Styela clava: one gene and its partners. The protein of the gene in region 2 purifies or fractionates together with the protein of the main gene of each other region. This does not show direct contact. Links are inferred from orthologs where the notes say so. Each region holds a gene or a part of one and is shown on either strand. Other genes may lie near its edges. The genes, in order: transcription initiation factor TFIID subunit 4-like, TATA-box-binding protein-like, transcription initiation factor TFIID subunit 11-like and transcription initiation factor TFIID subunit 6-like.

Region 1 (7,858 bases), on a different chromosome or scaffold from region 2:
GTTTGGCATATGCAAGCCTTCTTTAATTATCAGTCCACTCAATGCTTTTGGGTTTCATCACATATCTTGCTTGACCTCGATTACTGCCACCAAAATTTGTGAGTATCACAAAAATTTAAAATTTCAGTTCCTATCTGTCGACTAGCGGAGAGAGTTTGAAAATATGACACAGACTCCGGCTTGAAAATGGAAACGTGCCATATTTCATAGACCTGGAGTAATGTGCTATCCTAATTCTAAATAGTAATAGCAGATCTTAAGAGTTTTTGTGCCCATAAATTCGCTCTGAGATGTGTCTACATTACACCTGAGCGCACATGTGCGACACCCTTGTGAGGAAGTTATCTTATTTAAAAAAATAAACAATGGTTACCTTGTAGGAGAGGCTTCTGTTGGGCAGCACCAGGCTGTGGATGTGCAGATCTAGGTAGGCCAACAGGTGGTGGTGGACCGGATGGCATATGCGGTGGTTGGTTTGGGGGTGGGACCATGTTGTACGGAGGCATTCCATATCCATACGGTGGCATGTATGGTGGCGGCATATGAGTTGGTGCATTAGGAGGCATTCCAGAATGCTGAGATGTCACAACAGACTGTAAGAGGAAACAAAGGTAAATGCAAAGAAAAGCTATAAATTATATATAGGATAGGCCTATATCATATATCTATTACGTAGACTTCAAGTCGAGGAACAATATATAATTACCATAAATTCACAAAAATAAGTCGTCATTTGATTGAAAATGTCATTACAGCAAAAAATTTGATTTGCTCTATTATACAAGACTAAAAAATAAATATATCTAGAAACAATAACTTTTGGGTGTAATTCCATGTGCTAAATTTTTATCTAGTGCAGTGACATGATAGTGGTGGTAATATACAATACACTTGGCTGGAAAGAGACAGGAAGTCAAAATTGTTTCATGTTAGAATTATAAGAACAGGGTCCAAAATAAATGAAATATATACTAAATTAGTTCTATTTGATATAATAAATGATTTAGGATAGTTTCACTTGAAAATTTGACATTTTCAAGTATTTGCCATCTGATGTTCAGACAAAAAATAAATTCCATTAAAGTTCTTGTACTATAAAAATAAAAAATTTGAAAAAGAACATTTCCAACTAATCTGCATTATCAAATTATATTATATCCAACTTGTTTCGAGTTAAAGACTCGTTCCACTCTGAAACTTGTATTTACTTTGAAGCAGATAAAATTCATTTCACCTGTACAATAGCAGGATCTTGTGGCAAAGAAGTCGTTGGTGGCTGCTGTGGCTTCGGAGGTTCACATACTGTCAGATCTTCTATGTCGCTTCCACGAAATATAATATATTCATATAAATCATCTCGTGGAGGGACTACACATTCGGTCTGCCGATCTTCTGTGCCAAATGATCGAACTGTAAATGGAATAAAATAAGTTTTTTCTTGGAAAATTGTGCCAAGCATTATATATCGGTAAAAACTCTAATAATAATACTCAATTAACTGACATATGCATAATACAAGATAATAAAAAATGGTGCAAAATTGGGAAACTATGATTATGCTTCATTTTAACTAAAATTGATGAATTGACTGATATATCACAGCATTAATATTCCTTTTATCTGGAATAGCGAATATAATAATTAGGCTTGTTTTTTCAAGTTAGAATGAGGCAGCTGGTAGCCGGAATGCAGGTATATTTTGCTTTGTATCTTCCATAAATTTAAGTGAAATCTGTGGTAAAGCCTATTACCACAATGGAAAGCATGGTATATTTCAGTTTTTGGCATCAGCATTTTGTCTGCAATACCTAGACCAGATTTTCAAGACTTCAAAAATATAATATTAATCATCCTTATTATCAATTCAATAATATAATGTATATTATTATGAAGTCAGGAAGTATAATATTTTGCAGTTTAATTTATACAATATATAAATTTTTGCTACATATAATCAATATTCCTCAAGTAAAATTTATAATAAAACTCGAATAAATAAATTGTGTAACGAACATCATAAATTGACAAATTTATAAGGAAACGTAAAATATACCTTTTGCCAGAGCAACTGTAGCATTTTCAGCATCAATCGTGAACAAAATTCCTTCATAACGGATTTTTGCCTTTGATATCAAACTAATCCTACTGCCGATATATGGAGTTCCACAACTCATATCGCCAAAAAACTAGGAGGTAAAAATTATGAAATATTTTTATAGTTTTTAAGAGTTACCAAACACATCTCAGTATCTGCACATACAGACATAAAAGATTTCCAAGAGAACGAGAGAGACAGGTTTTTATTTCCAAACTCTGTCATTATGGTACATTTTTTTATTTACAAATCCAGTCTACATATGTGCTGCAGTCCATTAAGAACTAACAAACTAAGTTTGAGATAAACAATGATTTCCCAATTTGCACTGCTGAACAGCAAATATCACATCCCACTACGGTATTTAAAAAGCAAATAACCAATGTGACACCACCTGACACGGATAGCCAAATAACTTCAGAGCTTGTTTTCATTAAAGCTGTATTACCATTGATACTATTCCGAGTATATTAAATCTCAGAGAAAAGTCCTGCCTCGTGTAAATTAACAAGAAAGAAACGATAACTAACAGTTTGATTTCCTACCAATTTGAAATAGCGACAACGGATAAGGCATGAAAACACTTCATGACCCGCGTTCAGATTGTATGACGCGTTGCTCTTAATCGCGCTCTAGTGTTCGTCTGAAAATCCATTTTTTCTTTTTTCTGTGATATAATGAAAAATGAAAATGAGAGAAAAAGAAAAAAGCAAAATTTGAGGACCGCGGTGTGAACCACTTGTTATATATGAAGGGGGTGTCAGCGGAGACTTGTTTTATAACGTAAATACACTGATATTTGTTTATTCGATTAAAAAGATTGTTGTATAACATAAATTTACATTTGCAATACAATAAAAATTAAAAAAAAAATTCATAATACAATGTTTTTAATTTTTCATATGACCGTACTTCATTTTAAAACACGATCCATTCCCTTGAATCGGAAAATGATGACGCATGCGCACTTCATTCTTGTTGTGAAGGCCGTGGAGTAGTGATGGCGCCCAACGGGTCGCTGCGCTTCATTCGCGCCCGAGGTTTCGAGGTGTGCATTTGGGAGTTGTGAGTTGGTGGAGCTAATGGCCCACTGAACGATCATATAGTTAGTTGCTAAATACATTTTTTTACTGATATGTTTATAGTTGTAAAGGGTGCTTGACCTGTTTCGAATATTATTGTCAGTCGTTTATACATCAACTTTCAGCATTTCTTTTAATAATCCTGTAACTGTGTAATGCAAAAGAAGTGTCTTGTGATATAGGATTCTTGACATGTTGTTGTTTGACAGAGCACAACAATCAAGTACCAAGGTACAAGATAATACAAGTATTGGGTAACATATCTGGGTGATAGTGACCTATTGCACGACCAGTATTTAATATCTGAATATACAGATAGGCATATGAAACTACAGAAATCAGGAAATATCTGTTCAATTATGACAGTACTGCAGTATGAAGAATACTTTTATGTAAGGGTGTAGCCTATCTAGTATAATGGTTATGTATAGCAGTGCAGTCATACCGATATGGTATTGTCTAAAACCACTTTTAGACTTGTTAATATTGTTAATTTTTCATATCATATTGCTCTATTGGGGTATTTTTAATTTGCCCGATCTGTCTGTCAAACCCCTCAGGTTTGGATCGAGCATAGCATGTGGTAGCATTGCACTTAACGGGTCTAGTATAGTTTAGTACCACAAGAACTTCCAGTGGGCGTAACATAACGAAATTTGCGTATGTTATTCCTAATCCCCACCTGACTATACCATCCAAAAATTACATCACTACGACGTCACAATCACATAATGGAGCTTGCCAAAGTACAGTTACAATCACCCGAAATGTCATCTGCGCCGCCCATAATGAACTCACTAACGCCCGCGATCTCTCTCATAGCGTGATCGTTGTGGCGAGAAAACATGATGGATAGCTTGCTTGATTTTGAGTGATCGTCTGCGCGTTCCGCATACTTTGTAGGGACTTTTAAGCCACTGTGACAGATTTTTTTGGTGACGCAGTCAGGCGGGGATTGGGAATGACATTCAAAAATTGTTGAGCCAGACCAACTAGAAGTGCATGTGGTACTAAGCTATACCAGACCCACACAAGTAATAGATAGGATAGAATTTATATATTTATCCCGGGGGAGAGGAAAGACGGCTTATCCATATGTCGAACCACGGCCTCTCGTCCGGTTACCATTCAAAGTCGGGTATGGAATTAGTTATATTGTTTGTTTTCGGAAGCATGGACCTGGTGGTGGAGGAAGCCGTAACCGACCAGCGGTTACGTGAACTACCCAACGACGGCGAGGAGTCCAGCAATCCTCTCGCACATAACCATCCCTGCATGGGATTCGAACCTGCGAACCCACGCAGAGTAATTAGAGGTGCGGTGGCTAGCGTATTCCTAACGCTTAGCTCGTTGAGCCACACCGCTGCGCCAAACACCGCATCGCTCAGTCATTTACTCATGTATATATCAAGTTTATTGCACCTTTACAATTCCACAAATAAATGCAACTTTTTTATTTCTCTCTGTGGGATTGCGATTAAATGACTAAGGTCTTTTTCGAGAGATTCTAATCCAGATCTCAATGCAAAGATTTATTTTAAGAACTTGCAATCGTAGTCAAAAATTAATTCTAAATATATTTTTTCAAGGTGATGTATAGATCTAAGCTGTTTTGTTCAATGCAATGAGGGTTAGCCCACCTGGATCGACGGACACAGTTCTCACATCTTCATCAAGTACCCCAAACACGTTGAACAGCTATAATTCTGGAATGAATAGTTTACCTCCATTTTCTGCAGCAAAAAACGGAGTACAGCAGGTCAGGACTGCTAGCCCGGTCACCTCTCAGCAGCAAGGGATGCTTAATGACTGGTCAACAGGTCTAAATGAGGGCTATGGGGCCCCAACCCCACAACAGCCGACCCTAGTTTTAAATTCACAGTTGCCTAAAGCATCCACACCTGTGGCAAAACAATTAACGACTCTGACCACAGTAAATAAAATTCCACAACCAGGAATGCAGCAATCAAATACTGGTTTGCAAAATAATTTATTGAATCCTACATCGAAGGCTCAAGTTTCTACGACTCAGCCAATGGTGACTGCGCGTCCTCAACAAGGTGGTGCAGTGCAACTAGCATCTGGGATAACTATTCCTCCAGGTTAATTTGATTTCTACTTTTTATCTAATTCCTTTTTCATACGCTATGCAGTCACAATGGTACATAATTATGTACTGGAAACTCTCATGGACTATTGTTATTGGGTCAAAGGTTCCTAAGTTTTTAATACGACAATGCAGTGGATGAAGAATTTATTTTTTTCAAACTTAAATAATAAAATTAAAAGTTTTAAAATATATTCAAACTTAACTATTACGATACATGAAGCTTGTTTTCATGCACATGTCCTTAGCTGTACTGTTTCACCACGATAATTTTCCATCATTATTCAAGCTTGAATATTACAGCGACAGAAAACCAGTCTAATACAAGTTGGATGTGGCAAAAGGGATCAAAACCCCCTGGAACAGGCTTAGCTATATATACTGAAAGTTAATATGTCCCCTTTTCTTATTTTTTCAATTAAGTGAACTGTATTTTACTATCAAGCATTACATTCCTATATAAAGAGTTATGTTCCACACAATATCATAAGCCCTCGAATGTGGAACTGATTGAAAGTTGTTGAGCATCGATACAGGGCTGTTAGTGAACATGCTGAGCCTATCTACACGCTGGTTATATGGTTTGATGGAGCTTTTTTCTTGATTTACTTCCTGTATGATGAATGATCTGTGCTTTTCGCTGATTTCCCATATTACTTTTGATTCCAACCGTATACAGGTATGGTTCTAGCAAGACATCAGAATGGACAGTTGCTGCTTGTGAGTAGTAATTCGTTGTCATCGTCATCTACTACAAATACATCCACAGTTCCTGTAACTCAGACCGCAACATCTGGGACCGTAACAACGTTGAAAAATTCGACAACAGCAGGTGTTGGGACATCATCACCTCAACCCGCAGTAAGTATTAAAGTTGATAACAAAGCAAAGATCAATTATAAGTGCCCAGATTTTAAATGAATACTGGAATTTTAGCAAAATTTCTGACATTTTTTTTTAGTAATTGTAGGTGTTTCACAGATGTCATATAACAGTATTTCTGTGAATTGGAAAAAAAACAGCAAAATTTTGAGTAGGACAAAATTTGAGCAAAATAGAAGTAATAGCCTCCTAGGGACTTATTCCACATTGAAGTACTGAAATATGATTTTATTAGGTCTATTAGTTGCAAGAAAACAACAATTACAATAGTTAGCAAAATGGTACATGTACTCTTTCTACCCAATAAGGGAATTTTGAAAACACCTGCCTCAAATTTTTTGTAAACATTTCTGTATGTTTTATTCTGCAAATGTTTTGCACAAATCAAAATCTTACCACGATTATGTAAATTTGCTTTTATCGTATGAAACACAATCGAGCAACTTTTTATTGCTAATTTCCATTCCATTCTTTTGACAATTTGTTTCATATCGTCTTCTTACAAAAAAAGTCAAAGCCAGGCTCAACAGAATAAAGGATGAAAAAATCTATTGATTCCATTTTTCTATTAAGATAACTGCAACAACAGCTGGTCAGGTGGTAGCAAGAACAGTGGTTCCAGTTACAAATTCAATTAACCTTAAAGCTGTTGCTGCTAAGCAAGTAAGTATGGAATGTATTTTTCACAAAGTTTTTCAAGTTATATTTATTTTATGCCCAGTATCAGTAACTCGTCTGTAATATCTTCCTTTCCATTAATACATTGTGAAATCATGGCATATCTTTGTTTATTAATAATAATAATGATTTTTCTTTTTTGATTGATTATATTAATAAGATTTATTAATTATTTGTGATTTTATGCCCAGATGATATAATATGTTGTCTAAAACCCAATAATTTACCATTCTGAAATAATATTTCCAAATATGGAATACCGAATACGTTCTGAAATGGGCCATGTCTACAGTGAAAATCACTCAGACTGTTAATAGAAGTTAAATTTGTTAATTAGCTCATCTGTGTCCTACCAAGTTCAAATGCATTCTAATACTCCATTTGTTTTCGGACACCCCTGATCTCACAGAATTCACCACTTATTGCATGAAACTTCAATTGTTTCTTAGCAATTTGCACTTAGAGTGGATTCTGCCATAATGAGTCTCTAATAGTTACCAATATACAGCATTATCTACTGTCTTTGTCTGCAAGACTTTGTTTTATATTTTTCTTATCATGTACTGATCATAAATATTTTGATCTGAATCTTTTTTTCACCAAAACATTACTTTTCAGACGGTTGCTGTCAGTAAAGTATCTACCACAAGTCCAGCGACAACACCACAGAATTCTCAATCTATAACGCTATCTCAGGTATAAGAAGTCTGATGTTCTTCACTGATTAACATCTTCTTGTAAATTCATTATCTACGAATGCAGCGTAACAAATAACAAGGCTAATATCATTTATTTGTAACTGTTGAAATCATATCTTTATACAACCAAATACTGTTCCCAATCAATTAAATCCGAAAGCCTTTGGCAGTGAATGAGGTGTTATTGTATTACTATGTGATTGCTCAAACGGGATAGACATAATAGCAATAGACTTCTTGCATAGCACCTTATCATATTTTACTCGTTGTATACTTGAATAGACGGTCCACACAACCGGCCCTCAACCAGGGGGCC
Region 2 (8,089 bases):
CTATCTCTGATCTCACTTTTGCACCTGAAGAGAATAGTTTAATTTTAAAATAATCCCTAGAATATGTTATATGATTAAAAGATAACTTGTAGTATGGGAAACACTCACCAGTGAGTACAACTTTGCCAGATACGAAGATTAGAAGTACAATGCGAGGTTTCACCATTCTGTAGATCAGCCCAGGAAAGAGTTCAGGCTCATAGCTGTAAAATGAAATTCTATGTTCAAGTGCCCAGATTCCACGATGTATGTGTTAACTTATGTAACATTCCTAGAAGGTTTTCATAAATTATAGAAAGTATAGGCCAGTGCTACTCAACTGGCGGTCCGAAGATTCGGACCGCGACGAATTCTTTATTTTGGATCATGAGCCCCACTATTGAAGTTTTCCTTTTATAATATCACTTTTCATAGATTTAAATATATATGAAAAGAACTATAATGCCATAATAAATATTCTTGATTAGCTAATAATCATTAGTCGGTCGAGGAAGTGCGGGTTTAATAAGGATGCCCAAATATTTTTGAAGTTTTGTATGCCGATTCTCGGTAAAAATAGTTGAGTAGCCCTGGTATAGGCTACTGATTGTAACCATTTTCAAACGTTCACAACTTGGCAGATCTACAATTTCCAATGCATATATAAAGAAAGATAGGTCTCTAAAATGAAAAATTCCATCAGATTCATTTAAGTACCAACCTTGAGAATTGTCCGTGTGTTAGTACAAGGCCTTCCAATCGAATTGGAAACTTCACATCAACACTTCCTACCATGTTTTGTATTCGAAAATCTAAAAATTTTGCTGGAAAACCCAGTTTCTGTACAACTCTCGCATATTTTCTGGCAGCTAATCTTGAATTAGTTTCACTTTTAGCTCCTGTGCACACCATCTTGCCAGAACTGAATATTAAAGCAGTTGTCCGCGGATCACGAATTCGCATAATTACTGCAGCAAATCGCTAAAAATACATATTTACATTATTTTGGAATTTTTGTCAGCTTACTGGTAGGTAAGTTGTATAGCTAAACAACCGACCATAATAGAAGAACTACAGGTAATCATGTTTTATATCAGTATCAAAGATGCTTTGGGCTAAATAAAATAAGTGAACCCTTACCTTTGGGTTATATTCAGCATTTCTAGCATGTAAGGCAATTTTCTTGAGATCCAACTTACATCCTAGATTTACAGTTGACACAATATTTCTGAAAAGTAAGAAAAATAATAACATCACCTATCATGTTTGAGTCTTTATTTTTTTTTTTGCAAGTCCACATGAAATATATTTTACATCATTACTACATGTATCAAATATTCCACAGAATTTCTTCCAAAGTAATTTAACATATGACACAGAACAATCAAACCATATACTTACTGTAACATTGGTGGTCCGACCCCAGAATCTGCAGGAGTTCGAGGAGTCATTGGTGTTGCTACATTCACACTCAAGGGATAACCAGGAGTGTTCGCATGATAATTACTCAATGCGCTAGGAGTGGGGACCTGTTCAAAATAAAGGAAATATAAAACAAATCATTTCGATATGGTCTGCCCTATTGTCAAAATAATACCATTGGGTTTGATGGAAGAAAAAAATATACTCATCATAAGACACAAGTAATGGTAAGTAAAGACCTGATTTTCTGTAACATACATGTGACATACTTGGAGATTGGATAAAGGTGCTGGACTCATTGCAACTGATGTTCTGTGCTGTTGAGCATCTGATCGTTCATCTTCGTTCTGACGATGTGACCTTTGACTTTCCAAAGTAACAAAGTGTTGATTGGATGCTAATGAAAGGAATGATATCAATCGTTACTCCTTGATGCCTTATAATACAAATACCACAATTAGTTTTACAATAGCTTGCAGGAACATGGTCTATTACAGACGAACAAATAGTGAAGGCCAATTGATACAAGGAGAGAGGATTTTATTACTCATACATCAAAAAATGGTGAAAATTCAATTTTGGTATAGCAATACTGCCTTTGTGAAATCAAAATAAATGAATACCCAGGCATAGAAGCATAAGGTAAGGTTACACTAGCAAAAATATGGTATTGTGGGTCCCACATTATCTGGGGATATAAAACACAACTGTACACCTAAAAACAAGACACGACATATGCTATTACAAGCAAGGAAATTGCAAATTATTGCAAGGAACCTATTGCAGTTCATTTTGCAAGGTAAGTAGACTATGCCACTTTATGGCCGACTAGGATTAGCAATCATACATTGAAATTCAGATATTTGATCATTCAATTAGCCATCGCATATAAAGCAATCAAATCGGAGGCATGTGAAAAAACGAAGTGTACAGTTGGAGCACAATATTAGACTTAACAAACCTCCAGGTTGTGTATTTTGTTGATGCGATGGAGCTCCATACATTGGATGGCTTCCATACATTCCTCTTGGTGGCTGTTGGTGATGACTCACAGCGTTATATCCACTTGGATTTGGCAAACTTAATCCAGAACTTCCAGCCTGAATATAAAGCAAAATACATGTCTAATTTGGTAAGCAATTACTGAATCTGACAGTGACTTGCCCTGGAATATCCATTCTTGATAGAACAATAGCCTAAATACAGACGGTACTGAAATATCAACCAGTTCTGCAGTTAGGCTATATCTACGTATTCACCAATAGTTATAATGAATTTATAGATATTGTTCATTGGCAAGTAGACAAAGCAGTACAATAATGGTATTGCAAACCTTCACCAGGTAAGGATGTAAATTCAGTGATTCACTTACCTGATTTTGTGATAATTGTGGATTTGCCTGAGAAATCAAAGGCCGTTGTTGTCCACTAACACTCCTTTGTTGTAATATTCCTCCATGTGGAATAGTGCCTGGAATGACTCGCTGTGGATTCATCGTAAGGCAGTAAAAATTCAGGAAGTTAGGAAACACCGCCTTTCGAACTCAAGCAAGAGTAGTGACCTACACAGTCACAAACAACGAAGATACGAACAGCGACGACGTCAAAAATGAATGACAGCGCCCCAAGCGGAGTGAAATAATATCATTCAACTTTTTTATTGCGTCATTTCCTTTATTTTTCATAGTGATATTAAATTCCAATTTATTAAAAATAATATGTAAAAATTAAAATGATATATAAGTTTATGTATTATTCAAAATTTCTCGATAGCTAATGCGTACTGTATAGATTGAGACTAAACAAACTTTTTGAACAAAATTTTTTTACCTCCAACAGTTTTGTTTCACACAAAGCTTCTAAATACTACACGCGCACACTTAATAAACAATTGAATACGTGTTAATTTTAAAATAAAATCAGTCAGCATGCATTGATAGCTTAATAGTGTTTGAGAGCTAAAGTGGTTTACAGGTTCAAAGCATTATTTTTAGTAAAATAGTTAGCCATGTGCCGTGTATGGGAACTGAAAGCAAATTATAGCCTTGTGCCCCAGTCTATCGCAGTTTTTTCGTCATAGGCCGCGAGCCGAGGCCATTTATCTTTCAGTTTCGTAGCGCACATCAGGTAACTACCTGAAAATGATTTTAAAATGTTCCTTAGAAATTTAGTAACAAATATTGCCTTGTTCCCACTTCCAAAAGTTGCACGTTTTACAGAAAAGACGCTTTTACTACAATAAATATGTGTTACCATCTGTCCTATTTTCTCTGCTTTTCCGGTATCATGGGCCAATGAACGCAGACTTCTGCACGACGTAACAGTCAAGTTAGTCAGCTGTAGGTGGAGACCCAGTGGTCGGATGAATATCAGATGTACTACAACTGCTCGCTTTTGCGTTGAGTACGGTAGCCTTTCTATAGTTTTTTTCAGTTACCGGTAATATTAGTTCAGTTATTCTAAGGAGGTGTTGAAAAGTATAGGTAAGATATTAAACACTTGTATATCCTTACCATAACAAGCAATTTCAGTTGAGCACTAGCTCATAAGACGTTGTTAAATAGGTACGGTGCGGTAACTCCAAGGAAGGCTAGACCTAGAATAATATGTCACAAACAACGATATTTTCTGGCTTGCATGAAATGTTTATGATTAATTTAATGACTCTTTTTGACTATTCAGCAGACTTATACTACTATATAGGCCACAGCATATTTGGAAATAGAAATGAATGGCTGTTTCTGTAATGCACGGTTGTGTGAAAGAGAAGAAATTAATCAATTTTCCTAATGTCGGTTGGTCTAAATCTAAATTCATAGAGTCGACAAGAACCTGGGAAGCAATGATAAGTTATGCCGGAGTGGAAAGAAAGGTAGCATTGGAAACGATTGAGAGGTGAGAAATCAAGTTGTAGACAAACAGTTGATGTTTCAAAATATAGTCTATAGTCCATACTCATACTGTCATAGGACATTTCAGACTGTGATATATCAAAATTTAGTGTAGATATAGTCTAGTAATGGTATGCAAACACTGCTGGACTGTAGTACATGCAATGAGCATATACCGGTATACGCTCATTTAGTACATCAGATAAAATGCATTATATATTCAAGGTATTAGTTAGTACCGTATTTAGGGGTATTTTTAAAATCATGCTGCTCCAAATATTATTTTCTTCCTTATTTTAGATACTGTACTACAAAAGAAAACGGCAATGTTCCACCAATCCGACCTAACGCAGGCTCTGATCCCTGCTGCTATCAGTGCTATAAAATGGATTAAACAAGAAGCCTTGAAGCTTAAAGGTATATGAGAATCATAATAGTTGCAAACAGCTTAGATGGGCTATTCATATTGAAATACTTTAGCACTTTTCTGCAATTGGAACTGCCCATCAAATTCATGTTGGAGACTTCATTGAGATTTTCAATTCATTTATTTCCCTCGACTATGAAGATCTTTTGAGGTTAACGAGGCATTAATAAATAAAGCTGAGGAATTTGAAGAGGATATGAAGAATGTAAATGATACCAGGGCACGTCTATTTAACACTGTCAAACATAAGGATTATACTCTCCACCCAACAATGATTCACTGAAGAAGCATGTGGCCCTCAAATCAGTTCTTGAGTTGGCAAACTGCAAAGAAAAATAGTCAAAATAATTTATGAAAGTGTGCCAAAATCAACTTAAATTGCACAGATTTTTGTTTTTGTTTTGACTGCAGAAATCACAGTACACCTATAGAGGAAAAGTCGATTTTTGAGATAGTGGATTTCGAAAACAATTCAGAAGAAAGTGAATTAGATATTACAGTTGATTTAATAAGTATCATACTCATACATTTGTTTGTTTTTTCGGACATTTGTTAGTGTCGTAGTCCTGTTTCTAGAAATATTATTGCCTTTTCAAATACATAACCACATAAACTAAAAAAGATTAATTGTGAATTGTAATATTTCTGTTCACTATGTTATGTACATATTGTACATTCGTTTAATTTTCTTGACTTGCGGTAAATTTCTAAGTGAGAAATAACTGATTTATTTGTGTTTTCGTGCTCACGATGTTAATTTGTGACTTCATTGCTAAAAAATAAATAGGTTTGATAGCTTCTATAAAATGGATGTAGCTTTTCATGCTGTTCTTGTTGTAAACTGCTTGTGGTTATTACATAAAATTTATTCGCAAATGTGAATCAGCGTTGTTGGTGTCGCTGCTTTCGAGGTCACTCCCGACTCCTGTCACACAATTAAAGTATTTTTTGTTGTTGGTTACATGTATGCCATATTTTTCGTAATCTACCTAATAAATTATGATTGACTGAGGAAGTCCGATTTTGGTCAGGCAAAACATTACAGGAATACATTTGTGTTAGTGTGCTGTAGGGCTCTCGAATTGTATAGTTCTTATGTATGTGTTGTAAACTTATGGTTATTGAATTTCCGGGAACCTCTTATATTCAATTTCGCACCAGGATTGTGGAACAAGCTGTAATGCGTTCATTATGTTCGTTTTCACACAAAACTGAAGAATTTATTTAGTTACCAGATGTGCGCTACGAAACTCATTTTCTGGGCGTTTTCATGGTTTCGTCTCACGGCCCATATCCGTGGTAAGGATCTACAAGTGTTTAATAACTTACTTATACATTTTTCAACAACGTCTTAGCATAACTTAACTAATAATAACTAAACAGGGCTATGGAAAGGCTGCCCAACTCAGCGCAAGGTCGAGCAGTAATACCTAATATTCATCCACTCGCTAACAGCTGGTTTAATTCAATTGTTACGTCTTGCAGAAGTCATTGTTCCTTGCCGATAATGTAGAGAATATAGGACAGATCGTAGCACATATTTCTTGTAGTAAAAGCTTCTTTTCCGTAAAACGTGCAACTTTTGGAAGTGGGAACAAGGCAATATTTGTTACTAAATTTTTAAGGAACATTTTAAAATCATTTTCAGGTAGTTACCTGATGTGCGCTACGAAACTCACTTTCTAGGCGTTTTTCAGGGCCTCGGCTCGCGGCCTATCACTGATTTTTGATTATTGTTACTAAAATGAAGCTTATCGGAAGACATAATGAAAAATAAAATATTTGATATACTACTATTTAGGGAAACCGACAAAAAATACAACCTACTACAACAGTGGTACCCCGAAAATAAAATCTAGTCTGAATTAGTCAACAACGCAATCTCTGGCTATATACGGTACTCGTGACCTAGCCGGACTTGTATAATGATTCTAACATATAATGACAACCAATTATTATTGAATTACTATTTTTTGTTCTGTGCTTCAAATATTTATAGTGTGACATTATTTGTGAAAGAAAAACTCTCTCTCTCTCTCCTACACAATATTATTAGGTTAACTATGATATTACGACGTCAAATAAATTTTAAAGCGCATATGACGTCAATGTGGAGGGGGAATAAATGAAATGGTAGTGGCCAAGCACCCCGATATGGTGGATGTGCGTAATGAAAATGACTGTGGTTGCAATTCCATAATAATTCAATCCAGTAATTCCATAATAATTGGTTGTCAGGATGCCAGAAATAAACACTCAAAAAATACGCGAATGTAATAAACTTACGGGCTGTTGTATTCTTATGAAATACTCAAGCTAATAAGGACCAATTTATTCTGATACAATGACAACGTGTGTAGGTGTATTGTAATGTGATAAGGTGACGAGAAGCGTCAAAAACCGTGAAAACTACATTGATTTGGCATTGGTGAAAATGTGATACAGAGAATCAAGACACATACAAACAAATCAAAGCAATGCTGGTAAATTCTGCGCTCAGCGGCTCAGGCAATTATAAAAACAACAAAAGAGCAGCGCCCAAATATATGGACACATCTGTTCGCAGTACAGTACGGTTTACCGTACCGTCAGATCACAGTCTACAACAAGAGAGCTGTGCTCAAATATATGGACACGTAGCGCCACCTAATGGCAATAATTTTGATGGCGTCTTAGCAAAAAAAGAGTAATAGCCTTCTGAGGAAAATTTTTATCTTTAACCACTGAAAATTTCAAAGCAATTGGTCTAGTAATCAAAAAGAAAAGCGATTTCTTCAAAACGTGTCAAAGAACAACACAAGAGAGCTATGCTCAAATATATGGGCACGTAGCGCCACCCAATGGCGATAATTTTAATGACGTCATAGCGAAAAAAAAATAAAAGCCTTCTGGAGAAAAATTTTATCTTCAACCACTGAAAATTTCAAAGCAATTGGTCCAGTATTCGAAGAGAAAGGCGATTTTTTAAAAATGATGGAGACAAATAACAATAACAACATAATATTGAAACGATCGTTATGTCTACTAAACGTGTCCAAAATTATATTCACATAAAGCGAAGCAGTACAGTAGGACACAAAATGGCGTCCGATGACCACAGAACGTTCGGTGACGTCTTAGCAAACATAAACAAATGTCACGGAGCTAACAGAAATATTTGAAATAAATAAAAGTAATAGATTTCTGGAGAAAAATTTCATCTTTAACCACCAAAAATTTCAAAGCAATTGGTCCAGTGATCAACTAGGTGTCCGAAAAGTGTTGAACAACAAAAAAAACAAGATAACAACAAAACGATCGTTATGTCCACTAAACGTGTCCGATTACCGTATCAGTGGTACCGTATATTGCGAGCATAAATCTCTCTCTTT
Region 3 (7,009 bases), on a different chromosome or scaffold from region 2:
ATCTGTGAGGGCCAAAACAATATAGTGCATTGATAAATTTCCTTTGCAATTAAAAAAAATTAAGACCTCATGGACACCCTATAATTCCAAAATAAACAGTTCTGATTCTGAAAGATTATGTCATGAAGCATCACAAAAGTCCATTTTTTCATGATTCTGATAGGAAATTGACAGCAATGTACCCATCTCTTAACCAGAAAAGCCATTCAGGACAGGCTTGGTAGGATTCGGCCTTCGGCAAAACAATTCAAATACAGGCATCATAATGGGTTAGTCTTCAGTTTAGAAAACGGGAAAGTTCTTCTGGCTTTTAATTTTCTGATTGCTTCACGAATATGTTTTGGTTTCACTGGAGGCGTTTCCCCTTGTTGCTCCATAACATCAAGTGCTATCTCCATGATTTCACCGACATAAACCTGATAAAATATAGGAAACAACAAAATCAGAAAAATTGTATCAGATTCTAGTGAATGGAAAACTGACTTGACAGTTGGCCAATTATTTCCAGTAATGAGAGCAAGAGAAATATTGGACTTCAAAGTAATTTTCTCAAATAATTTGTTAAGAAATTCGAATCCATGAGATTTTTTGTGAAAGATTTAATCCTAAACTTGGGTTTCTTGAACTGTTGGTGTTATGGAGCCTGTCAAGGGCCTGAATATTTATTTACAGTGCCCCACCATGAATTTTTTAGAAACTATTATCTATTCTATTGGAACTTATAGATAATGTCATATTTAAATTACCACCTTATTTCCACATTTCAACGCTACTGTTGTCAAATTTTATTAATGCCGTTATTCTTTGGACAGTTACAAAATTAGCCAAGTCAGTATTTTAATAAGTAAATGAATGGCTTGCGGAGCACCAAGGTTTTTCCGCACTTTGAGAATCTATGCCCTGAACTATTCCAATACAAAGATAAAGACGAGCTTACTTTGGACACTCCAGCAACTCCTATCACCACATTTTGTGATACTGTGCATCCAGCGATGGATTGCATTAATCGTTTTATTGAAGCTTTTGGAAACGATGAACGTCTGTACATTTCATATCTGTTTAATTGGTCTTCAGAGAAAGCTGTCACAAGTCGCCTAAAAATAAACAAATTTAAAGAAAAGATTTGAGCATGTTGGGAAGTCTGATGAGCAGATTCTTTACAGATCACCAACTTGAGTGTCATCTATTATCTATATAAATTCACTGTTTGTGAACGCATAACACATTTAACCTAATGTAAATACAACTGTTACAAAAGACCATCTTAATGCAACCAAATAATCCAATCAGTTCGTTAAAATATAATACAAAGCATATACAGGAGAAATGGCATGATCGTAGTTTGGCATGTTTCCATGGAGTTGGTTCAAAATTCAAAACATTATAAAATTCATAAAGAATTCATGAAGAACATTACAAAACAAAATTCATGAGAACATCAGAGCTGCTGTAAAATATAACTAAATTTAAATTTCCAACTTACTGCATTTTCATTCTTTCAACTCTTCCTGATTTTTCTTTTTTTCGTTTCGCTGATAATATTTCATCAGCAGTTGCCTGTTGTGCTGACGTAGGATCTTTTCTGAAAATAAATAAAAAATTTGAAAGTAAAATATGATATAACTGATATTGGATTAATAACATGAGATTTTTCTGCCCAGTCACGCTCCAATTGGAAATTGGAGAAGTGGAATAGAGCAGCACCGGCATTAGCCCAATTAGATGAAATTATTCCGCTCATTCACGCTTCAATGATAAAAACTCGGGTTTAGTCCAGATATCTAGCCTGAGAAATTAGAAAATAAAATATGGCAGCACCGGCACTAGCTTAATTAGATGAGAATATTCCACACATTCACGCTTCAATGGGAAATTTCAGATAAAGTCTAGATATCTAACCCGGGAAATTAGAAAGTGAAATATGGCAGCAGCGGTATTAGATTAAATAGATGGGATTATTCTGCTCAGTCACTTTTCAGTGGAAAAAAATCAGGTCTAGTCTAGACATCTAACCTGAGAAATTACAAAGTGGCATGCGGCAGCACCGGCATTGGATTAATTCAGATGAGATTATTCCGCTCAGCCACACTTAGAGGGGAAAAAATTCACATCTAGATGTTTTACTGGGAAATTGAAAAATTTTGATAGTAAATTTCTTTTAACTAGCTTCTTTAGACATACTTTGGTGATTCTTTCGATGAAATTGATGTATTTTTGTCTCCTTTGCTTGGGCTTTCTTGAGGTCCTGATGGCGAACCAAACTTTCTTTTTAATTTTGAAGAACCTGAAAATAAAGATACCTCCTAAAGCAGCGGCTCCCAACCGGGGGCCTGGGGCCTATGCAAGGGGCCACAGAGGAGTTGAAGGGGACTACAATGTTAGAAGCAAAACCGCTTCTAGCATTCCTTTACTAAAAAAAGTCCCTGTTCATCACTTGTGATAAATAACAGAGGTTCTCAAACTTTCCAAGCCGCGCCTATTTTAGAATTTTCCAAGTCTTGCGCCTCACCTCAAAAATAGAAAAGCTACAAATAACAGATAGTGAGGCAAAAGTATATTTTATTCAAAAAACACATTGAATAATGTGGATGAAATTGCAATCTCCAATAATAAAGATAAGTAAATATGCAAATTAAGGACGGACAAGATTAAACCTAACAAATATTTTTATTTGCGGGGCATGCTGCGCCGTTTGAGAACCACTGTTTAATATTGTATGTATAAATAAGTATTATACTAATAATATCAACTAAAGAATATTAGTATACTACAGCAACATTTCTACCTGACCTGGTAACATCAGTTTAAAACCTTGTCAGAGCGAAGGCATAAAGTAAATTACCTGGTTTTTCATCAAAACTTTCTTCATGCATAGAGGTGTTGCTTCTTTTTGACGTATTCGCTTCAGAAACATCGGAATCGTCTAATTTTAAATCCCCATGCTCGGCATATTCTGCCATACTATAGCACTAAGCTTATTTCATAAACTAAAAACACAAAAATATATACATGTACTATGCAATATATGAACTAGGCGTGGTAAGTCAACTTGCATAAAAATTTACAGCGGAATTTGCATGGTTAGAAAATGGCATAGTGTCAATAAACAAGCATTAGGTAATATATTTCATAAACCCATCTCTATTTTCTTTATAAAACCTTAAAAAATGTGCAAGTTATAAATTAGAAAGTGATGTGATAACCTGACCTGCATACCTTAACAGAATTAACCTAAACAAAATTAACAGAATAATGCATATAAAACCACTCAAATCAATATGTATAAGTCAATGGTAAATTTGTCAGCAAGGATATTTAGTTCAGTTGCTATAAACAAAAACTAGGAGCGAGAGATATGGAGTAAATCAAAAAAGAACTTTTAACGTCAAGCAGGGAATAATTAAATCAAAATCATGACTATGAACATGTAAACCAGTTTGTGAGCCCGAACTCTCAAAATAAGCATCAAAAATTTTGCAATGATGGCATTAAAAAAATTTCAAAGGTCAGAGACAAATCAGTGTGTTCAACAAATAGCTTTTTCTGGCAAAATAACTGCTTGGCAAAATCAGATGCTTTTGATATATACAAAGTTACAATAACAGCATATACAACATAAATGAAAACCTATGCGCTAACTATAAATTTCATACTATAATATATATATAAACAAAACACTTGAAAAAAAATATGGAAGTTTTCTATTCTAAAAACAAACATTATACAAAATTATTCAAGGTCAACATTTTGTAGAAAAACTCATTAGAACCAATGGAAAGGAAGATTCATTGTGGTGTTACACCTGCCATTACAAAATGACTTGACCCATGTTCTTGTATTTCTGCATGTGCATTATCTCTGAATACATTTCCATATGCATGTGATCCTGTGTTTATTTCAGTGTACACATTTAAATTTTCTGGTTTGCTTTCTTCAATAGGCCAGACTATTATAACAGGTACATGTCTGGTTCTTTCGCAATAGATTATTGAATACTTGATGCGGATTTGTCCTCGTTTGTCACGAATCGAATCACTTGGGGTAAAACATAAATGAGAGAATCCCTGTCTCACAATATCCTTTGTGACTTCTATAATCTCGTTTTGGGGCTGAATATTAGGAAGTTGAACCTCTGAATTATCATCACATTCAATTTTTATTTCAATCTTCGATTTGAGACCAACGTTTAATCGCTCCTCAAGAGGCAAAATTCCAACAAAACCTCTTTTTTTCAAAGCTGATTCTGTGATTTCGTGGTCAGATCGATTTCTTGTTAAAACAGATATGATTTGTGCTGTCTGTTTTTGCATGTAGAGATCGTTAATAAAAGTAAATATTCCATTTTCACATATGTCCTTCTCACTCCCATTGCAAAAATCGCAGAAACGGTCCACTTCGAACACAATTTCACTTTCGGTTTTCAACTTAACATCTTTAATCATTGTCCATTCCCCGTCTTTTTCCTTGTGCATAATTTTAACTGGAATTTCCCGATTATTTTTACTGTAGAAATTTGTTTTCATCGTCAAAGTAACTGGTGTATCAAATGTTATTGAAGGATTGCATTCAATGACAGGTGTGATAGGAAGTAAATCATCTGGGAAATCATCGAAGAAATTATTGACCGAAAGAGAAAATGTAGTTTTTGTTTTAACAGCACCAGGCGGCACAAGGAGCTTGCAGTCATAAAGCCACATAAATCCACCATCTGGTCCAATTTCTTCGACCAAAGGTTCATTAGCATCTATCTTATTCTCTCTTGACCAGAGTATAGAAAACAATTTGATGTTTTGATCGAGTGAAAGGGCTGACCGTTCTATTGAGAATTTTCCAATCTCTTTGAGCAAAATATTTTTTTGTGATTTATTCATTTTCAGGGGGCCCAGCGACAAGCATTTGTGAACTTTTTGAGCTAACCTCGACATCACAAAGATCTCATCATCAGTAGGGGACATTGACACAATTCCTCTGTTGTTCAAGCAAGAAAATGTAACTTGCTTTTGCTGTAGAGCAGTGCAAAATGATGACAAACGATCATATGTTGCACATATACCCATAGCTGTAAACACTGTGGTTTTGGTGTTATTCAATAGCTCTGCAAGAAGCTCAAATTCTTCTAAATTTGTTATAGAATGACTATGAATTCGTAAATCATCCAAAATCACATTATATTCCACAAATGCATTGTTGAGTTCTACTATCTTTTCAGAACTCAAGTTATTGTCATTCAAAATCAGAGAACGAGATCCACAAAGGTGCAACACTTGGACAAATAAGAAATATGCTGCTGGTTCCAGTATTGTTGTATTCTTTAAATGAATAGTAGGAGCAGTTAATACGCCATTTTTTATAGCTTCACCTAATTTTTGAAGATTTTTGCAATCCATACCAATAATTTCAAGAAGAGTAATCAGGATGCTAATATTACAACTGAGTAGTGATATCATGAGTGGCAAATTTGTCGAGCAAATTTCAAATGTTGTCATTCGAATGGACTTTAATGACACAGCATTATTTGCGATGGACAACAATGTATTTCGTTCGCCAGGATGCAGAGAAGTTTTTGTGAAATCAAACTCTTCTGCATTGGTTGTAAATTGTTTGAAGACATCTGGGCCACATTCATGCAATATGGAAACTAGTAGTTCATCCGAAATCACTTTTTGATCCAATAATTTACCCAAGTATTCAAGCAGGTATTCAGACTTACTATGCAAGTTATCTGGTAGAAATTTTGATGCTTTTTTTGCAGTGGATTTGTTGAGAATTATTATAAAAATATGTTTTATAACAACTTCCATTCCAGATTTTTTGTAATTATCCTCGATAAACTTCTTGAATTCCTCCAAGTCAAGACTGCAAGCATACAAGGAAGCAAGTATCGTTTGGATGTGCGGGTGTAGAAAGCGTATTCTCATATCATTATCGTCGGCAACATACTCAACAAATCGGGTGTCAGCATCCATCTCAACAAGACCACGCATGTCACTCATATCCAGGTTGAGTGACTCAATATACCTTGCTGTGAAAACAAATCGATTCTCTATCATCCCAAGAAAAGCCAACTTCATGCCTTTTGGCACAAGACTTTGGACATTTCCTTTATGACGAGATCCTGAGAAAAGTCTCATAATTGAAACCATCGTAGTTGTGATATTCACATCAGCACCTTTTGGTGGATTTTTATAAGTCTCAGTTATGTATCTCATGAACAAGGGGTTTGAAAAAAGGTCAAATGCCCCATATATTTTCCAGACGAAAATCATGCTTTCACTTTTGGAGCCAAATATATTTTCTACAAGTTGATGCACTTTTCCTATATCATATCCTTTTAAGACCACGGTTCTTGGGGTTTTCATGTTTGGGGGCAATTTCCAATATGCATGCCAGCGTGATGTTGATAATAATTTAATTCCTTGGTAAATATGCCCGGATAATACATTAGCGATAATTGTGTTGGTATCTGCTACAGTGTCCACTCCAATTTTGGAATAATCACCTTCTAATGGAGTTTGATTTTGGTCCAATCCATCCAATACAAGCAAAACATTTGATGAATTCAGTTTCAACCAGTTTGATCCGGAATCATGTAGGTATTCAGGAAGTTCCGATCCAAGCTGTTGGACAAACAGAAGATCAAAAGGAGTTGTTCTTTGTTTGCTGTATAACTTAGAAACATCCACATAATAGACCATCTTAATCTCAGCGGAAAACACCAACTTCTTCTTCGAAGCCATCATTGCATAATTCAAAGCAAATATTGTTTTTCCAGAGCCTGTGTCACCTAGCAACATGACATGGTTGACCGAATCATCAGCATGGATCCTTGTAACATCAACATTTTTTGAATCATCTAATAATGCAGTCACCATTGGAAGACTGACGTCAATATTCCCTTTTTCTTGAAATATTTTCAATTCATAGGCTAACATACGATTCATATACTCGTCCAGAACTCTGCAAAATTCCATACTTCTCAAATCTACATCGGCAGACATTTTGAATCTAT
Region 4 (7,281 bases), on a different chromosome or scaffold from region 2:
TGACGCAGTGCTTCTAATTTTAAGGTTCGAATGACTTTAAGTTGAAATACGTAAACTATTAACCAAAAGCAGCAGAATGACTCAATATCCTATAAGTCTACTGCATTTGCAGTAGTAAACAAGTAAAGCAACACGCATAGTATTCATGAATTTTGTATTTAGTTGAAGAAGACGAACCAACGTAACTGATAACTGGGCTATACTGTTGAAAATAGGTATAATTCGTAAAAAATACAAATAACTCATCTGAGATTCCAATGAAACCCCAAATCTAATACTCTGGTAACCCTCACTAAGTTTCCCTCTTTCCTGCAAATATATTGAAATTTAGGTTCGTCGTTTCAAATTTCGCACAAGGCGGTCGTAAATATAGATTTTGTGTAACTATATAGATTTCGTGTAACTGCAGTCGTAACAATAGTGCTAGGCTAGAACAATAAAAATTAACAAAAATTAAAAAAAAGAACAATTAGCATACCTGATATCCCAGCAATAACAACAAATCTTATACTTAAATAAACTTGAGTTTTTTTTACTATGTAGTTGTGCCCTTGTTCTTTACTGCAATCCTATTCTTACTACTTTACCACTGTATTTTTGTTTATAACGGACACTAAAAACTACAGATGCATACAATAATTGGAAAACTCATAGAATTTGAAACACCTTTTTTTCTCACTTTCCTCACTCTTTGCGTAACTAATATCTCGCAATCGTTCGTCTGGAATGTTCTTTAAAAGCAACAACATGATGAAACTCCGCACCCCAAACCAAGCATAAAAAAAACTCGGATAAAGCGGAAATTTGGAAATTTAGGTTAGTCTTCCAAAATCTCGCACACGGGGGTTACTAGACGTAACTGAAGATTTTGAAATTGCAAGGATATCACATCAGCACATTAAAAATAGAATTGTTTAAATGCAAACTCTGGGATTTAAATGGAAATGTTCTTTAAAAGTAACAACATGATGAAACTTCCGCACCGCACACGAAGGATATACAAAACGCAAATTAAGCGAAAGTCTAGAAACACATCGTAAAATTCAGGAAAATACGACAGGGAAATGAAGGAAACTTGAAACACCAAACATTTGCAAATTCAGTTTCGTCATTTTAAATATCGCACAAGGTCGTAACTGAAGATTTTGATATTGCAGGCTATCACATTTGCGCCAATAAAAATGGACGAAAATTTGAAAAAGATGAAAATAACTAATCAGATATCCAAACGATAACAACAAACCTAATACTCAGATAAACTTGAGTTCTGTTTTTATGTAAATCTTTTCTTAAATCACATTCTCACTACGTTAACACTGTATTTTTGTGCAAACTGGGTTGTTTTCACCGGACCATAAAAACTACTGAGGTATACAATAATTGGAAGACTCCTAAAATTTGAAACACCTTTGCTTCTATCACTTTCCTCTGTCCTTGCGTGACTGATATTTTGCAATCGTTCGCCTGGAAATGTTCTTTGAAATAACAACAGGATGAAATCTTCGCACCGCACACCAGAGATACAAAACGCGAAAACGGAAATCTGGAAACACATCGTGAAATTCAGGAAGACAACATGCACAATACGACAGGAAATTCGAAGAAACTGGAAACACCAAACACTTGCAAATTTAGGTTCGTCTTCTTAATTAAATCTCGTCAAATGAGGCTACTGGTCGTAACTGGAGTTTTTAAAATCGCAAGGCTATCACATTTGCGTTGATAAAAAATAAACAAAAATTTGGATGGAAATACATTAGGAGCTAAAATTTGTGCATGTGTGTGACATAAGTAAATTCGGTTCAAAATATGTAAATAATGTATTAACGAAATAATAGTATATGACATGAAATTGTTAACAGTATACTCGCTAGTTATTAACGAAACCTAGCAGTTGACACAGATGAGGCTTTCAACGGCTTTTTATTAGGAAATCAACGCAGGAAATGTATAGTTGACGCATTTCATCAATTCGCAAGCGTTGCACTGGTTAATCGATTTGTTCTTCAGCGAGTAACAGGAAGTGCTGTTGCAATTTTCAGGTTTTCGAATGAATTGATAAAAATCAATTACACAAAAAAGGAAGAACGAAAAAAGTAGAACAATAATATAACCGAACTTTAATATGGCAATACTTACATTTTGTATTCGTTACTTTTCTTACTCATAAAACTGTTTTTCTGAAAGAGATAAGAGATAACTGCGTTAAGGTTTGCCTTACACGGGGCTACGAGTATTCTTGCATCCATCGTTGTGATTTTAATAACAACTTGAAATTGTGTAATATATAATTCAACACTTCTGTTAAATGATTTGTGAATAAAATTACGTTTACTAACTTTAGTGCTTGATACATTGCACAAAAAGATTGATTTTAGCACATTATATTTCCTCCGTAGGCTAATCCCTCTTGAGCATTTTTACAACTTTCTATGTAGGGTTAGACGAAGGAACGGCTTGTAAATAATATAAAATTCACAATCATTAACACATATATATCGATTTTATTTCGTTTATGATTTTATTTTCCTTTTTTTATTATTTTTGTCTTTTTATTAGCACGCTTTTTACAAATTTATTCAAAAATTGAAACAATAATTCTTAAGTAGATACGAATGCTTTCTCAGCGTGTCCTAATGGTGATTAAAGATATAAAAATATATTCTGTTGGCGAGTTAGGGTGGAATTACATTGCCGGAAAGATGGCCAGTGCAACTGTAATATTACTTGAACTTAAAATTGCCTAAAATTCCTACTTCATCAGATCAGTTTTGCCAGTTTGCCAGGTTCGTACCATGTCACGGTTACTCGCTCCCAACGATTGTAACATGCCCAAATAAATAAGGATGTTTTCCCAACCTTTGACCCCAGAAAGATTCTTTCTATTATTTACCATTTCAAGATTTTCAATGCCTATTCTGAAAGTGTTTCTGCTGGTTGTCGCTTGCTAACTGGCTTGTATATTGAAAATAAATATTCACGTGCACAGCTCACAGATACTAATAATTAATTTTAGTCTAGTCCATCGTAGCGTTTTTAAAACCAAATTCCTTTGTTGCAATTAGACTAAAGCTTTTCGGAAGACAGAATGACGATCAACTTTTTTGATTTACAACTGATTTTTGGAAAAACAACTAAAAACTGACAAATAACACGCAAAACGATGCAATGTTTACAACAATGCTCAAATATCTGTCTGAACGACAGAAGTGTCGGAGCGTCTTTACAGATTGCAATTTTGACGTCATTGTTGGCTTATTGTTGATTGGTCATTGTTACGAAAATAAACAGGGAAAACGATGCTCGTGCAAACATCCATAGAGGGCGCAGCAGCCGTAATTAGCAGGTTCGGAGGTTAGAGGTCAGATAATCACTTTATATTTTTTGAGTGAATTTGAAGCGTTTTTAGAACCCGGTGTTTTAGTTTAATTAAAATAAAGCGGCGATGGGGAAACTTACAGGCCTATACGATAGGACAGGTTAACAAAAAATTAGTATTCAGTACACAAGTAACACAAGTTGAAAGTCTGAAAGCATGAACAAACGCTACGGCCATGACGCGGATCCAACATACCGGTAACTTTCCTGCTTCCAGGTTCGGTACTTGTATCCTTTACAGGTGTTTGAATTTGGATAAGGACAAATATGAATTAAAGTAAGCTGTTCAATGGCGTTAAAACGGTATCGTGAGCAGGTTATCAATATCGGTACCGTACTCAACTGGCGGTCCGAATCCGGCCCTTTCGACAATTTGGACCGTGTCTGCTTGTATATTTTGGCAGCATAAGCATTGTTTGGTAGTTTTAGAGGATTTGATACAATTTAAATACTGGTACATAGGTAGCCTAGCTATAGTCTACAGTTTGTTGTACTGGTACCAATATGCGACATTTGTGTATATACAGATATATTTACGAGCCATCATTAGACGTTCGTTTATTTAATGAAAAAAATATTCTGTAATGTCCGGACCCCAATAATTCTGAAGTTTTCTAAACGGACCTTTGGGGAAAATAGTTGAGTAGTCCTGGCGTACCGTAACATTCCAACATCATTGCCATACTGCTGTACTGCCATAGCAGAATGGCCCAGGTTTACGAAGAAAAATGTTTTAGCAATATACGTACAGACATACCTGCATACCGGTACTAGCATCACAGTATTAGCGTATAGACTAACTGCTGAACTGTATATTATCCACTGTTATTTTTAACAGCATATTACTGTATTAGAGTATTTACATTATTTTAAATGGCTGATACAAGTAAACGAAGTGTGAAAAAAGAAAGCAAAGTTCGACCTGACAGATTTTCTGCGTTTTCATCAGAATCTGTCAAAACCGTTAGCGAATCAGCTGGTGTCGCTCGATTAACTGAAGACACTTTGTCATGCTTGGCAGAAGAGGCAACTTATAGATTGAAAGAAATTATACAAGTTAGTGATTACAATTCTTCTCATATTAATTTCATTGTTCAGCGTTTTCTAATTTTTAACTAAAACACTTTGAGAAAAATTACCATTAGATAGATTTTCATTATCACTTTGTTTTGACTACTTATAAAATTAGGTCTATGAATTTTTTATATTTTAAATTTAGTCTTTTCCATGATTTCCTTCCGTGAAGTTTTTTCCTATCTATTTGTCTATAATGGAGTTCTCTATATGAATCAATATTTAGCCAGTCTCTGTTTCCTTCACCCATGAAGCATGACCTAACTTTGAGAGAATCTTCTGGCATTCACAATTAACATCTTATGAAATTGAATTTAAACCAGATGACCAATCTCAGTATGACACTGTTCTCAGATTCCAAGAATAGCTCCCACATATCAATTATATCAGTGAGTGCAAACCATTCCTTAACGAGACAGTTTTTTTCTCCATATCGGCATAAATCGGCAAACCAACTTTGTGAAATAAACTAAAAGGTGGCGCAATCTAAAAATGTCACAATTCGATTCCCCGGAAAAACAAATAATCTGGTTCACAAAAGGAATAAAAACTTTACTGTAGCATTCGAGAGTTTTTAGCAGAAAAAATGGATTTTTGGTGATGTTTGATTATTATCGGGACAAGCATTGCACAATCTGATACATACACTCCTGTGCCATACCCCCTCGTTTCAGAGACATATAGAGTGTTTGTTTCATTGAACCAAATGTTAGGAAATCTTGGGATTGTAGAACTGTGCCCTACTGAATTTTAAGATACTGTGCTAAGCAATGTTCACTAATATTTACTTTTACTTCATTCATAGGAATCATTGAAATTTTCAACACACAGAAAATCAAAGATTCTGACGTGTAGAGATGTTGATTCAGCTTTGAGGGTATGCTTAAGTCGTTAGTATCTTGAGTTAATAAGTTAGAAATACATACTTTCAAGTTGTTCAAAAAATCCATGTCCAAAATAATTTCCAAGTAATCAGGAAGATAGGTTCGCCTTATGTGCTCACTTACATTCGTATATAAAAAGTTAAGGCTTCAAGCGTGTTCGCAAATATTATCTGTGGGAGGATGAAATAACATTGAAAACTTATTTTAAGTGTTATTATGAAAAGTGTAACACAAAACTTTGTATCCTCCCTTTTTATTAGCTCAAACCTTAATAAATAAAAATAAATGCAAGGGTTTGAAGGTGTTTCGCAATAGTTTAGTTCTAACAGTCAAACCAAAAATTAACATAACATACTAAAATTTAAACTGAAGCAAGTGTAGCTTTGAATTGGAACAGAGTCCCGGAAATGGCCCATGGTTTATACAAAAAAATCTATTTCTGAAAAATGTGGCAGATGCTACTTTTGTTTTACTCCGACAGATTGTTTATATGCCAGAATAACTGCGTTCATACTTCAATTGGAACAAAGACTCTCACATATTTTTTATTTTCAGTCAAAAAACATTGAACCATTATACGGGTTCGTCGCAGAAGATTATATACCATTCAGATTTGCCAGTGGGGGCGGTAGAGAGCTACATTTTGTCGAGGACAAAGAAATTGATCTTACCGAACTGATTAATAACCCTCTGCCACGAGTTCCATATGATATCGCCGTGAAAGGTAAATGTCTTCCTGCATGGACACTAGAAAACGTTTTGCTAAATTGTTGTTATTTGGACTAGAAATCTTCTTGATTAACTTTTAAATTACTTGGGGGAGGTGGAGGTGTTTCCTAGAATGCTATTGCATATATGCTTTCAAATTTTTTCTCAAGTCGTTGGTACTTGTTGTTTTACTACTAATTTTGACAAATTTATCCATCACATTGATTTTCTACAGATGGATTTTTATGCACTGGTGTAATATATTATGACCATCCAAACTATATTTGTGATAATTCTCTTCAAACAAGGCTTAGACAAACACCCACTATTACATAGGAAGTTGTGATTTTTTGTAGAACTGGAATATTTTAGTTTGGTTATTACTTTCTATCAATTTTTACAACTGCCAGCACTTTTAATAGCACAGTCCTGCACTTCACAGTACTGGTTTTGGTGAGATATTTGCATACTCTGATAGTGATGGGAATGATATTTCATGGTAATAGATATATTTTTGAGTTTCATTATTTAATATTCACTGCCCACAGGACCCTGGACAAAAACCAATCATCCTTTGATACATAAAGAGCTACAATTTATTGTAGAGTGAAATATTTTCAGTTTGATTATTTTCACTCATCACCATTCCCTGTATTTACAGCTCACTGGCTAGCAATCGATGGAGTCCAACCAAGCATACCAGAGAACCCAGCTCCAGAGCAAACCACTTTACTAGATGTCTTAAATAAAACAGAATCTAAACCTCTACCTGGTTCTGCTCCTTTGAAAAGTTCCATCGTCCCTGCAAATAATCCCTTGAAGAATGCAACACATGAAACTAGTACTAAGGACAAGGTTAGACTATACTTTTTTCAGAGTTACTTGAAACTTGAAACATCAAAACTTTTGCGGTGGCAGCATATGGGCAATGTAGAATATTATACTATTTCAAAAGACTTAAATCAAATGCAGAATACTGAATCGTATTCTATTTTTATAGTTATTTAAATAGTGGAAATTCCCCACCCCACCCCGCTTGATTAAAATAGTCCAAGACTAAACATTTTACAGGGTTGATTCATAAGGGTCGTAAAAATTTCTGTGATGGTAAAAAAAATATAAGATCTTTTTTATTATAATTTTTTACTGTTGTTGAAGAGAAACTTTTACAAAATAAAGTGGTAGATTCACTTATGGTTTCAATTGATAAAACTTTTACACTAATACAGTGGTTCTC

What was found.
Region 1: the proteins of TATA-box-binding protein-like (region 2) and transcription initiation factor TFIID subunit 4-like purify together in Drosophila melanogaster (affinity purification with western blotting; 7 studies listed by BioGRID). This does not show direct contact. The link is inferred for Styela clava from reciprocal best matches to the Drosophila melanogaster genes Tbp and Taf4.
Region 3: the proteins of TATA-box-binding protein-like (region 2) and transcription initiation factor TFIID subunit 11-like purify together in Drosophila melanogaster (affinity purification with western blotting; 3 studies listed by BioGRID, with this or other methods). This does not show direct contact. The link is inferred for Styela clava from reciprocal best matches to the Drosophila melanogaster genes Tbp and Taf11.
Region 4: the proteins of TATA-box-binding protein-like (region 2) and transcription initiation factor TFIID subunit 6-like purify together in Drosophila melanogaster (affinity purification with western blotting; 5 studies listed by BioGRID, with this or other methods). This does not show direct contact. The link is inferred for Styela clava from reciprocal best matches to the Drosophila melanogaster genes Tbp and Taf6.

Annotation. Positions count from the first base shown.
Region 1 is NC_135262.1:5,622,902-5,630,759, reverse strand, and holds the start of transcription initiation factor TFIID subunit 4-like, read left to right. Parts: upstream 1-4,766; 5' UTR 4,767-4,801; coding exon 4,802-5,279; intron 5,280-5,963; coding exon 5,964-6,145; intron 6,146-6,739; coding exon 6,740-6,829; intron 6,830-7,462; coding exon 7,463-7,540; intron 7,541-7,858. Other genes in the region: protein LSM14 homolog B-like, read right to left, coding at 374-593, 1,235-1,410, 2,054-2,174. UniProt on the Drosophila melanogaster protein: TFIID is a multimeric protein complex that plays a central role in mediating promoter responses to various activators and repressors.
Region 2 is NC_135253.1:12,137,318-12,145,406, forward strand, and holds the start of TATA-box-binding protein-like, read right to left. Parts: upstream 3,024-8,089; 5' UTR 2,897-3,023; coding exon 2,774-2,896; intron 2,502-2,773; coding exon 2,363-2,501; intron 1,799-2,362; coding exon 1,671-1,798; intron 1,509-1,670; coding exon 1,381-1,508; intron 1,208-1,380; coding exon 1,120-1,207; intron 961-1,119; coding exon 701-960; intron 204-700; coding exon 109-203; intron 25-108; coding exon 1-24. UniProt on the Drosophila melanogaster protein: General transcription factor that functions at the core of the DNA-binding multiprotein factor TFIID.
Region 3 is NC_135264.1:15,684,843-15,691,851, forward strand, and holds the start of transcription initiation factor TFIID subunit 11-like, read right to left. Parts: upstream 3,004-7,009; 5' UTR 2,961-3,003; coding exon 2,843-2,960; intron 2,285-2,842; coding exon 2,182-2,284; intron 1,583-2,181; coding exon 1,484-1,582; intron 1,095-1,483; coding exon 938-1,094; intron 417-937; coding exon 261-416; 3' UTR 1-260. UniProt on the Drosophila melanogaster protein: The TFIID basal transcription factor complex plays a major role in the initiation of RNA polymerase II (Pol II)-dependent transcription.
Region 4 is NC_135256.1:4,776,841-4,784,121, reverse strand, and holds the start of transcription initiation factor TFIID subunit 6-like, read left to right. Parts: upstream 1-4,220; 5' UTR 4,221-4,251; coding exon 4,252-4,434; intron 4,435-5,257; coding exon 5,258-5,329; intron 5,330-5,891; coding exon 5,892-6,060; intron 6,061-6,705; coding exon 6,706-6,899; intron 6,900-7,281. UniProt on the Drosophila melanogaster protein: TFIID is a multimeric protein complex that plays a central role in mediating promoter responses to various activators and repressors.